Linked DNA regions of Sus scrofa. The protein of the gene in region 1 interacts with the protein of each later gene in a pairwise test. Links are inferred from orthologs where the notes say so. Each region holds a gene or a part of one and is shown on either strand. Other genes may lie near its edges.

The links. The genes of interacting proteins can lie anywhere in the genome.
Region 2: the proteins of NUDT21 (region 1) and MYL6 interact in binary tests that used the Homo sapiens proteins (3 or more experiments, as listed by UniProt). The two-hybrid records come from large-scale screens. The link is inferred for Sus scrofa from reciprocal best matches to the Homo sapiens genes NUDT21 and MYL6.

Annotation. Positions count from the first base shown.
Region 1 is NC_010448.4:29,342,843-29,346,402, reverse strand, and holds part of NUDT21 (cleavage and polyadenylation specificity factor subunit 5), read right to left. Parts: intron 2,258-3,560; coding exon 2,057-2,257; intron 1,136-2,056; coding exon 1,072-1,135; intron 1-1,071. UniProt on the Homo sapiens protein: Component of the cleavage factor Im (CFIm) complex that functions as an activator of the pre-mRNA 3'-end cleavage and polyadenylation processing required for the maturation of pre-mRNA into functional mRNAs.
Region 2 is NC_010447.5:21,557,861-21,562,135, reverse strand, and holds the start of MYL6 (myosin light polypeptide 6), read right to left. Parts: upstream 2,812-4,275; 5' UTR 2,781-2,811; coding exon 2,778-2,780; intron 2,515-2,777; coding exon 2,487-2,514; intron 2,304-2,486; exon of another isoform or gene 2,284-2,303; intron 1,625-2,283; coding exon 1,481-1,624; intron 1,282-1,480; coding exon 1,108-1,281; intron 1,015-1,107; coding exon 937-1,014; coding exon of another isoform or gene 746-936; exon of another isoform or gene 629-745; coding exon 600-628; 3' UTR 583-599; exon of another isoform or gene 1-582. Other genes in the region: MYL6B (myosin light chain 6B), read right to left, coding at 3,387-3,415, 3,565-3,642, 4,128-4,275. UniProt on the Homo sapiens protein: Regulatory light chain of myosin. Does not bind calcium.

The sequences.
Region 1 (3,560 bases):
CCGTAGCCTTTCTGGTGTTCTGCAGTGCTGGGTCCTGACTGCCCTTCTGCTGTGCTGAGGTTTCTGCTAGGTCAGTTATGATTTGCTCATCTGCTTTCCAGCTTCTAAAAATTTGTTCTTGCTTCTGTCTCATTTTGCACTCCCTCAATACTACTGGATTTCTATCTTCTAAAACACCTTAACTGTTTTTTGGTGGAGTTTTGAGAAAAAGCTGGGGTAAGTATAACTACCATATGTACAATATTTAAAAGCTTTTACACATTTAAAAAATACTACAAAGGCAAACCAGTAGATCAAAGAGATAGGACTACAGGTGATTTTAGTTTTGTCTCTCCCTCTACTTTCTACATTTGCCAAGGTTTTTGCACAGAATATATATTAGTTTGTAATGGGGGGGTGGGGACTGCATGCTAAAAAAGAAAACTATTTAATAATGAATACAAGCTATAATGTCAAAAATCTCCAGCATCTATGCATTTGGCCCCATATCTTTAGAGGCAGACGTTAGAATGACTTCTAAAAACTAGTACAATTTGAGTAAAGCCTTAAAAGGAATGTTCAAAAATGGAATTAAGTATACAACAGGAATCATTCTCTTGTTAAAAGTCTATTAAAACCTACTTTGGAACAAAACCACCTGCACTCAAAACTCCAGCTTCAGGGCATAATAGCTTTATAACATAAAACAAGTTATTTGAACCCTCTGTGCCATGGTTTCCTTATCTATAAAATGGGATTAATAACAGTACCTACTTCCTAGTGCTGTTGTAATGATTAAAGGAGTTACTGCATGTAAAGCACTTAGAACAGTGTTTAGCAGCACTACTCAGTAAATGCTATTTCATTAACATGACTGCCACATCATTTCAATGAAAAATAATGTTAAGATAAAGTATAAGTTAAACTTTCAGAAAATAAACACTGTACTAACACTTTGAGGTTTTATTTATTGAAAACTAAATAAATAAACCCATCCTTTTCACAAGACACAAAAAAACTGATTATGCATTAAGTTGATGGTATTTAGATGAACATTAACGAAATCGTCAGAATAGTTAAGTTGAAAAATACCTCTGTCATTAAGCGTTTTAGTCCTTCAACTTCATCTTCTCCTGGGTTAAGCTCACCACCTGGTCTGTATAAAGGTTAACAACTTCAGCTTCCAACTTAACACAATTGGGGATCATAGGAAGGACACAATAATCATTTCTATGAAGTACTGTTTAACACATATTTCAGTGTTACACGATAAAGCAATTAAAGCAAACAAATGTCAAGAACGTGCTAGAAAGTCAAATTCATGAGGCTAATTTATCAGACTAACAGTACACAAACCCTAGTTTTAAACAGAAAAAATATATACCGCTACATAAACATCATATAACTGCTGGAAAGCAGTCCATCCCAATCTTTTCTCCGTGGACGCCATCTGGAGACTAGAAATGCCCAGAGAGCAGTGGACCCACACTCTCTAGACCTGAAGAATGGGGCATTTTTCAAGAACTCATTTGAGAATTCTTTAGTACAATCTGGTCAAACAGTTGTGGACTATACATAAACTGAGAGATTTCTAAACTTAAATGAGAAAACTAAACAATTACCTATAAAAATATAAGCCATTTTAAGAATAGCAACACTATTCATCCTAGGAAAGAAATAGTATCAATTGTTCTTAGTAATGCTACAATGACACTTAGAAATTGAACTTGGACTAATTTGTTTCCCAGAAGCTTCTATCAGGCTCAGTCATTAGCATCAACAATATATAGAAACATGCAGATTTCTAGTTAGGCAAAAAATCCTTATGACTTTTTTCCCTGAAGACTCCATATGGAGTTCTCTGGTGGCCTAGCAGGTTAGGGTTCTGGTGTTGTCACTTCTGTGGCACAGGTTGGATCCCTGGCCTAGGGATTCCTGCATGCCATTGGCCAACACCCTCAACAAAACTCCATTAACGGCAATGTTTGTTGTGATAAGTGACTTAGTGCTAAAACTATTTCAAAGCTGCATAAAACAGCAATCCTATTAAAAGCTGTTAATTTCCAATGACACTTACAATTTGAAGAAAGTTGTTCCCAGCTGAAGCAGTAACACATGGGGTAGCCGGTGCTCATGGACAATCAAAACTCCTTCTACAGTCCTCCTCATGCCAATTTTATCAAATTCCTCCCTCATGCGCTGAAATCTGGCGGCAACAGAGCTGTCCTTCTCATAGAGGGGCTCTTTTGTACCAAAAGTATAATTGGTAAGAGGGTACCTATGATCCAAAGACAAATAACTAGTATGACAACTGCAGAACATAATTTACCAGAATACCAACCACACATTAAAAAACCATGGTAAGAAGTGTACATACTGCACTCAGAGACACAGGATTTGTCTGAAGTTAAATAATAAGTTAACAGAAGTTCCCGTCGTGGCTCAGTGGTTAACGAATCTGACTAGGAACCATGAGGTTGCGGGTTCGATCCCTGGCCTTGCTCAGTGGGTTAAGGATGCGGCATTGCTGTGAGCTGTGGTGTGGGTCGAGGATCTGGCGTTGCTGTGGCTGTGGCATAGGCTGATGGCTACAGTTCTGATTAGACCCCTAGCTGGGAACCTCCATATGTCGCGGGTGCGGCCCTAGAAAAGACAAAAGAAAAAAAAAAAATAAGTTAACAAAACAGAAAATATTAGAGTCTAGATCTTTGGACACTAAAGCCAGAGCTTCCATTAGATCAAGTTGTTTACTCCATACCTGAACTTTCAGGCATACACACTATTCATAAAGCCCTTAAATGCTTAGAGGAGGGGCTATCTAAAAAAAAGGTAATCCTCTGGTTTTAAATTATGGACCTATACTAACACTGCCAACCTGGCTGATGTGCCCTTGGGTTCTTCTACTAATCTAATCAGAAATTCTATTAATTTCATGTGCCAATGGCTAATCTCTCTTTTTTGAAAAACTGAGCCACCACTTTCCATCATCTCTCCAGTTATTTTCTACTTCTCCCAGTCAACTATCTTCAGACTTTTCTGGTACGTTTCTTCTTCAGATGAACTTTTCCTTCCCTTCGAGATCTTTCAGCCTTCTGCATTTATTCTATTCAGTAACCTTTTTCTTCCCTTCTCATTTGAATCTTCTGCCCACCAGATGTAATCTGAACAGTCTCTCCTCTCTCAAGAATTCCAAATATGACTTATATTGAAGACAATTTTCTTCTTGCCCAGTAAAGACTTTTCCCCTTAAAGGTAGTTTAAAAACCCATATTTGTAGTTCATCACATGAACTACCTTGTAACCCCTCAATCATAAGCCTTACAGTAAGGAGCCTTTGATTATAAACCTTTGAGTAAGAATGCTTTGGCCATACCTGCCTATCCCCAAAATATCTGTTCTATCAAAACACTTTGCATCAAAAGCCAGAAACTACATAACTAATCTAATTAGCTATCCTGGAAAGGGGAACAAATCAAAGCTGCCAAAACTTTAAAAATTACTTTTTAATTCCAGAAGCCAAAGTCTATGCATAAGTGAAGCAGCTCTAAATAACTAAAATGCACTTTTTCCAGAGTGTAAGA
Region 2 (4,275 bases), on another chromosome or scaffold:
ACCTTGGGGTCAGTTTGCAGAGGCGCTACCTTGAGTCTGACTGGTTCTCGGCCTCCAGCTCCCCTCCCACCAGCTGTTAGTTCCCCACCCGACCCTGAGCAGCAAGAACACAGCAGAGCAGAAGAGTTCTCAGCTACACCTACAGCTACTGTCAGCCATTGGCGGGAGGAAAAGACAGAGTTTTGGGTTAGGGTACCTCCAAGCTGCCCAGCAGAAGGAAGGGGAAGCGACTCCGGCTGCAGCAGCACCATGGGGCGGGCAACCCACCCCCCTCTGTCAACCGCCCATGCTCCCGGGCCACAGGGTCACCCTGAAGCAAGACGGGGATAGGCTGGTGTGAGTTCCCAGACGCCAGCGCCCTAGAAGCAAAACCTCAGAGCCCATTCTAGGAGAGGAGGAGGTACCACACCCCCAGGCTGCCTTCCTCTTTGAAGAACCCCCCCTCCTCAGTCAGCTCCATGCAGAGACATGCTAGGAGGAAGTCATGGTAGTAGGGGAAGGGCAGGGGCCAGAGAGCAAAGGCCAGGAAGAAAAACACTGGGGAGGGCAACTAGAGAAGGGGGGGGCTGGGAGGAGCCGTACCCGCCCCACGGGGCCCGTCACCCCGACAGGATATGCCTCACAAACGCTGCAGGAAGGAAGAGACATTAATGGTGAAGACAAGACATAGACGTGGGGTGAAGGGGATCAGGCGGTGAGGGAACAAGACACCCATTGGTTTTACGCCCCACCCCTTGCCCGCCCTTCAAGCCGCAGGAGCCCTTCCTTTCCTGCCACACCCCCCAGGCCTCCCACTCCTGGGCTGGGCCAGGCCCTGCCCCTTGCCTCCTGGCATTTTGTGCAGCCCAAGCCCAGGGACAAGGAAAGCCCCAAACACTGTGCCTGACCTGCCCCTGATAGCCACTGCGTTTGTGAGAGCCTCCATTTGTCCCTTACCTTCATAGTTGATACAACCATTGCTGTCCTCATGCCCTGCCACCAGCATCTCTACTTCTTCCTCTGTCATCTTCTCACCTGCAGAGGGGAAGAGTGAGTGTTCTGGAACTGGGTGACAGGTGAGGTGTATCAGGTGGCACCTCAGCTCAAGGAGCAAGGGCGGAGCCTTACCCAGTGTGACAAGAACATGCCGGATCTCCGCACCCATGACGGTGCCGTTGCCCTCCTTGTCGAACACCCGCAGGCCTTCGACATAGTCCTCGTAGGTGCCCTGGTCCTTGTTCTTGGCCACAGTCTGCAGCATGGGCAGGAAGTGCTCGAAGTCCAGCACCTTCACGTTCATCTCTGCCACAAAGGGGGTGAGAGCAAAGTCACGTGTGTTCTTACTGGAGGTTACGGGGCTCCCACTCAAGGCAGGAGAAATCTGTGGGATTTGCTAGACAAGACCTGCTTGAGTTCAGGGCCTAGGAAGATAAAAGGAAGCTATTAGCCGGAGACTGCGGGCCTGCCACCATGCTGAGCAGGTTGTTCTGAGGACTCTTACCATCACTCTTGGGGTTCCCCAGGACCTTGAGCACCTCGGCGTTGGTGGGGTTCTGGCCCAGGGCCCTCATCACGTCCCCACACTGGCTGTACAGGATCTTGCCATCCCCTGTTCGGTCAAACAGCTGGAAGGCCTCCTTGAACTCTGAGGATTCGGATAAACATCAGCACCTGGCAGGCACAGATGAACCCAAACCCTCCCTCACAGTCCCCGTTGCCCATTCAACTTTAATCACGCTGAGGAAACCAGATATTTATACCACTGTACACCCAAGCCCTCTAAGAGGGATCTAGTGTCCCTTCTTCCCAACTCAGGTGTCCCACATAAAGACAGCTCTCCTCAAGCCCTGGCAGAGTGGTAACTGCCATTTCCATACCCCCTCTGCCTACAGCAAGCCTGCCCAGCCTCCTCACTACAGTACTCAGGGCAGGAATTTGCCACCGCCCAGTCTGGGCCTTGTCCTTATAAGGAAGTGGGAGCAGCAGCCTGGGACTGGGGTCATCCCAGCCTGCCACTCTCACCCCTTCAGTACAGAAAGAAATCTTTCAGAGAGTATAGCTGCAAAGAAGCGTCCTCAACAAACTCCCCTGTACCAGCAAAACAACAGGTCACTGCTTCTTACAACCTTCACAATTCCAAGCTGGGGGAGGGGGAAAGTTAGCACAGGAGGAGAGAAGAGGCAGAAGGAGGTGATTAAGGAACAGAGGAGCACAAGCAGCTTAATACATCACTCCCGAGCCCCACACACGGCAGACATTGGTGGCCAAGCTGTTTCACATGCTCACACCACCTACAGAACTCACCCGGTGCTTGGGGCTCAGATCTAGAGTAGAAAGGGAGGGAGGAAGAAAGATTGAGAAAAGAAAATGGAGGCCCAGAAGGAGGGAGAAGGGAATCCACGAGGTACTCCCTTGTGGGTGCTGAAGAAATGACAGGTAGGGGGTAGGTGCTAGAAGGAATGTCCCTCTCCCTAAGCATGACCTCAGCGGGGTCAGAGATTACCTACCTGCGGTCTGGTCCTCGGTGAAGTCACACTGCTCGGAGAAGAGGGGAGCGATCAGCATCTTAACTCCAATCCCCCAAGCTTCCAGCCCCGTCCCAAGAACTCTGAACCACGAACTCCTGTTCCATCCTGGGCACTCTCGCTTCCCAGCAGGGCAGGCTCTCAACATCTCCAACCCCACCTCCAACCCTCAAGTCCCTTTGCCCCCTACCTTCTGCCTTCTCTTCGCCCCCTACCCCCGGCTTCCCGCCTCTCGCCCCCAATCCCGCTCATCCTCCCAGCCCCGGGCCCCACCATCTTGACTGCTTGGCTCTGCGGGACCTTTTCCTGCAGTAATGGCTCCGGTTCTCGGCCCAACCCTAGTCTTAGTACGTCCCAATGACGTCACCCTCCGTTGACCCAGCCAATAGGGATCCTGGCCCGGTCTTATGCAGATGCTGCTGCTACATTAGTAAGGAGGTGGGCGGGGCCCGCTGCGGCTCATTTTTCAGAATAGTCCTACCCGGGGCACAGAAACCGCAGAGGAGGGTGGGGTGGGGCGCAAGGAATCTCCTCCTGCGAGCCGCAGGAAAATCGGGGGATGTCGGATTTGGGAGAGGAGATCCCTCCCTTTCCTTCCTTCCCTCCCCCACCTCTGAAGAAAGCAAGAGTCGGAGGTTTAGGGGAGGAACCGTCACTTTATTTTGAAACAATAGGTGGCCTCCTAGCGGCAGGAACTTGCTTTCGCCCGCGAGGGGTAGGGGGACTCCTTGTCGAGCCCCACTGCACCTGTGGAAAAAGATGAACGTTGCCAAATCCTGGAGCTCAAGCGCGCAGCAGGACGTGGAAACGTATGTCTCTGGTAGAGGGAAGGGAAGCAGGCTGGCCTCACAAGGCGAAGTGGGAGGGCCCTACCTGTAGAGCTCAGACGCTCAGGATGTGCTTCAGGAAGGCTGCAGAGAGAGGAGGCAAGAGGGGCTTCAGAAGATGGTCTTGATAATCCATCTGACTTTAGATAATTTGGGCCACAGGACGCGCCCCCACATACGAGGAGCCTCATGCTTCCCCTCTTCCCCTGTCTCTTCAGCTCCTAGCCGCTCACCTTCATAGTTGATGCAGCCGTTGCTGTCCTCATGTCCTGCCAGAACTGTCTCCACCTCCTCTTCAGTCATCCTCTCTCCTAAACCCCAGACACAGCGTTTTAGCCCCTGCCTTCCCTCCCTCATCAACCCAGGCCTCATTCTTCTGGGTGGTACCTCTTCTCCCACCCTGGAGACTTGCCCATAGCAACAGTCCCCCAAGAGAATCCTGTCCTTGTAATGCGCATGCCTTGAATGCCTCCCAGCATCTTGCTTTCCATTTCACCTCAGTTACACCTGGTGAAAGCTCCACAGACAAGGAAACTGAATTTCAGAGGATTAAGAGACACATACCATATCACAGAGGCCAACCATCTCTTCCAAAATAGAAGCTCAGATCTCCCATCTCATCCCCTTTCCTCTGCCCTTTGGGAGGCATCTGTACCCCAGAAGCAGGCTCTGACCTTCTCGGTCTTCTGCCCATGACCTCCAGGACAGTAATCCCTCCCTGGCTCTGCCTGCTTGGCTAACCTTCTTCTTGGTTCACCCCCTCCTCTCCACCCCACAGTTCTGGTCCCTGCCTCACCCAGGGTAGTGAGGACATGTCTGAGCTCTGCTCCCATGACTTTGCCGTTCCCCTCTTTGTCAAACACGCGAAGCCCCTCCAGGTAGTCCTGGTATGTGCCTTGCCCCTGGATCTTGGCCACTGCCTGGAGCATGGGCAGGAAAGTCTC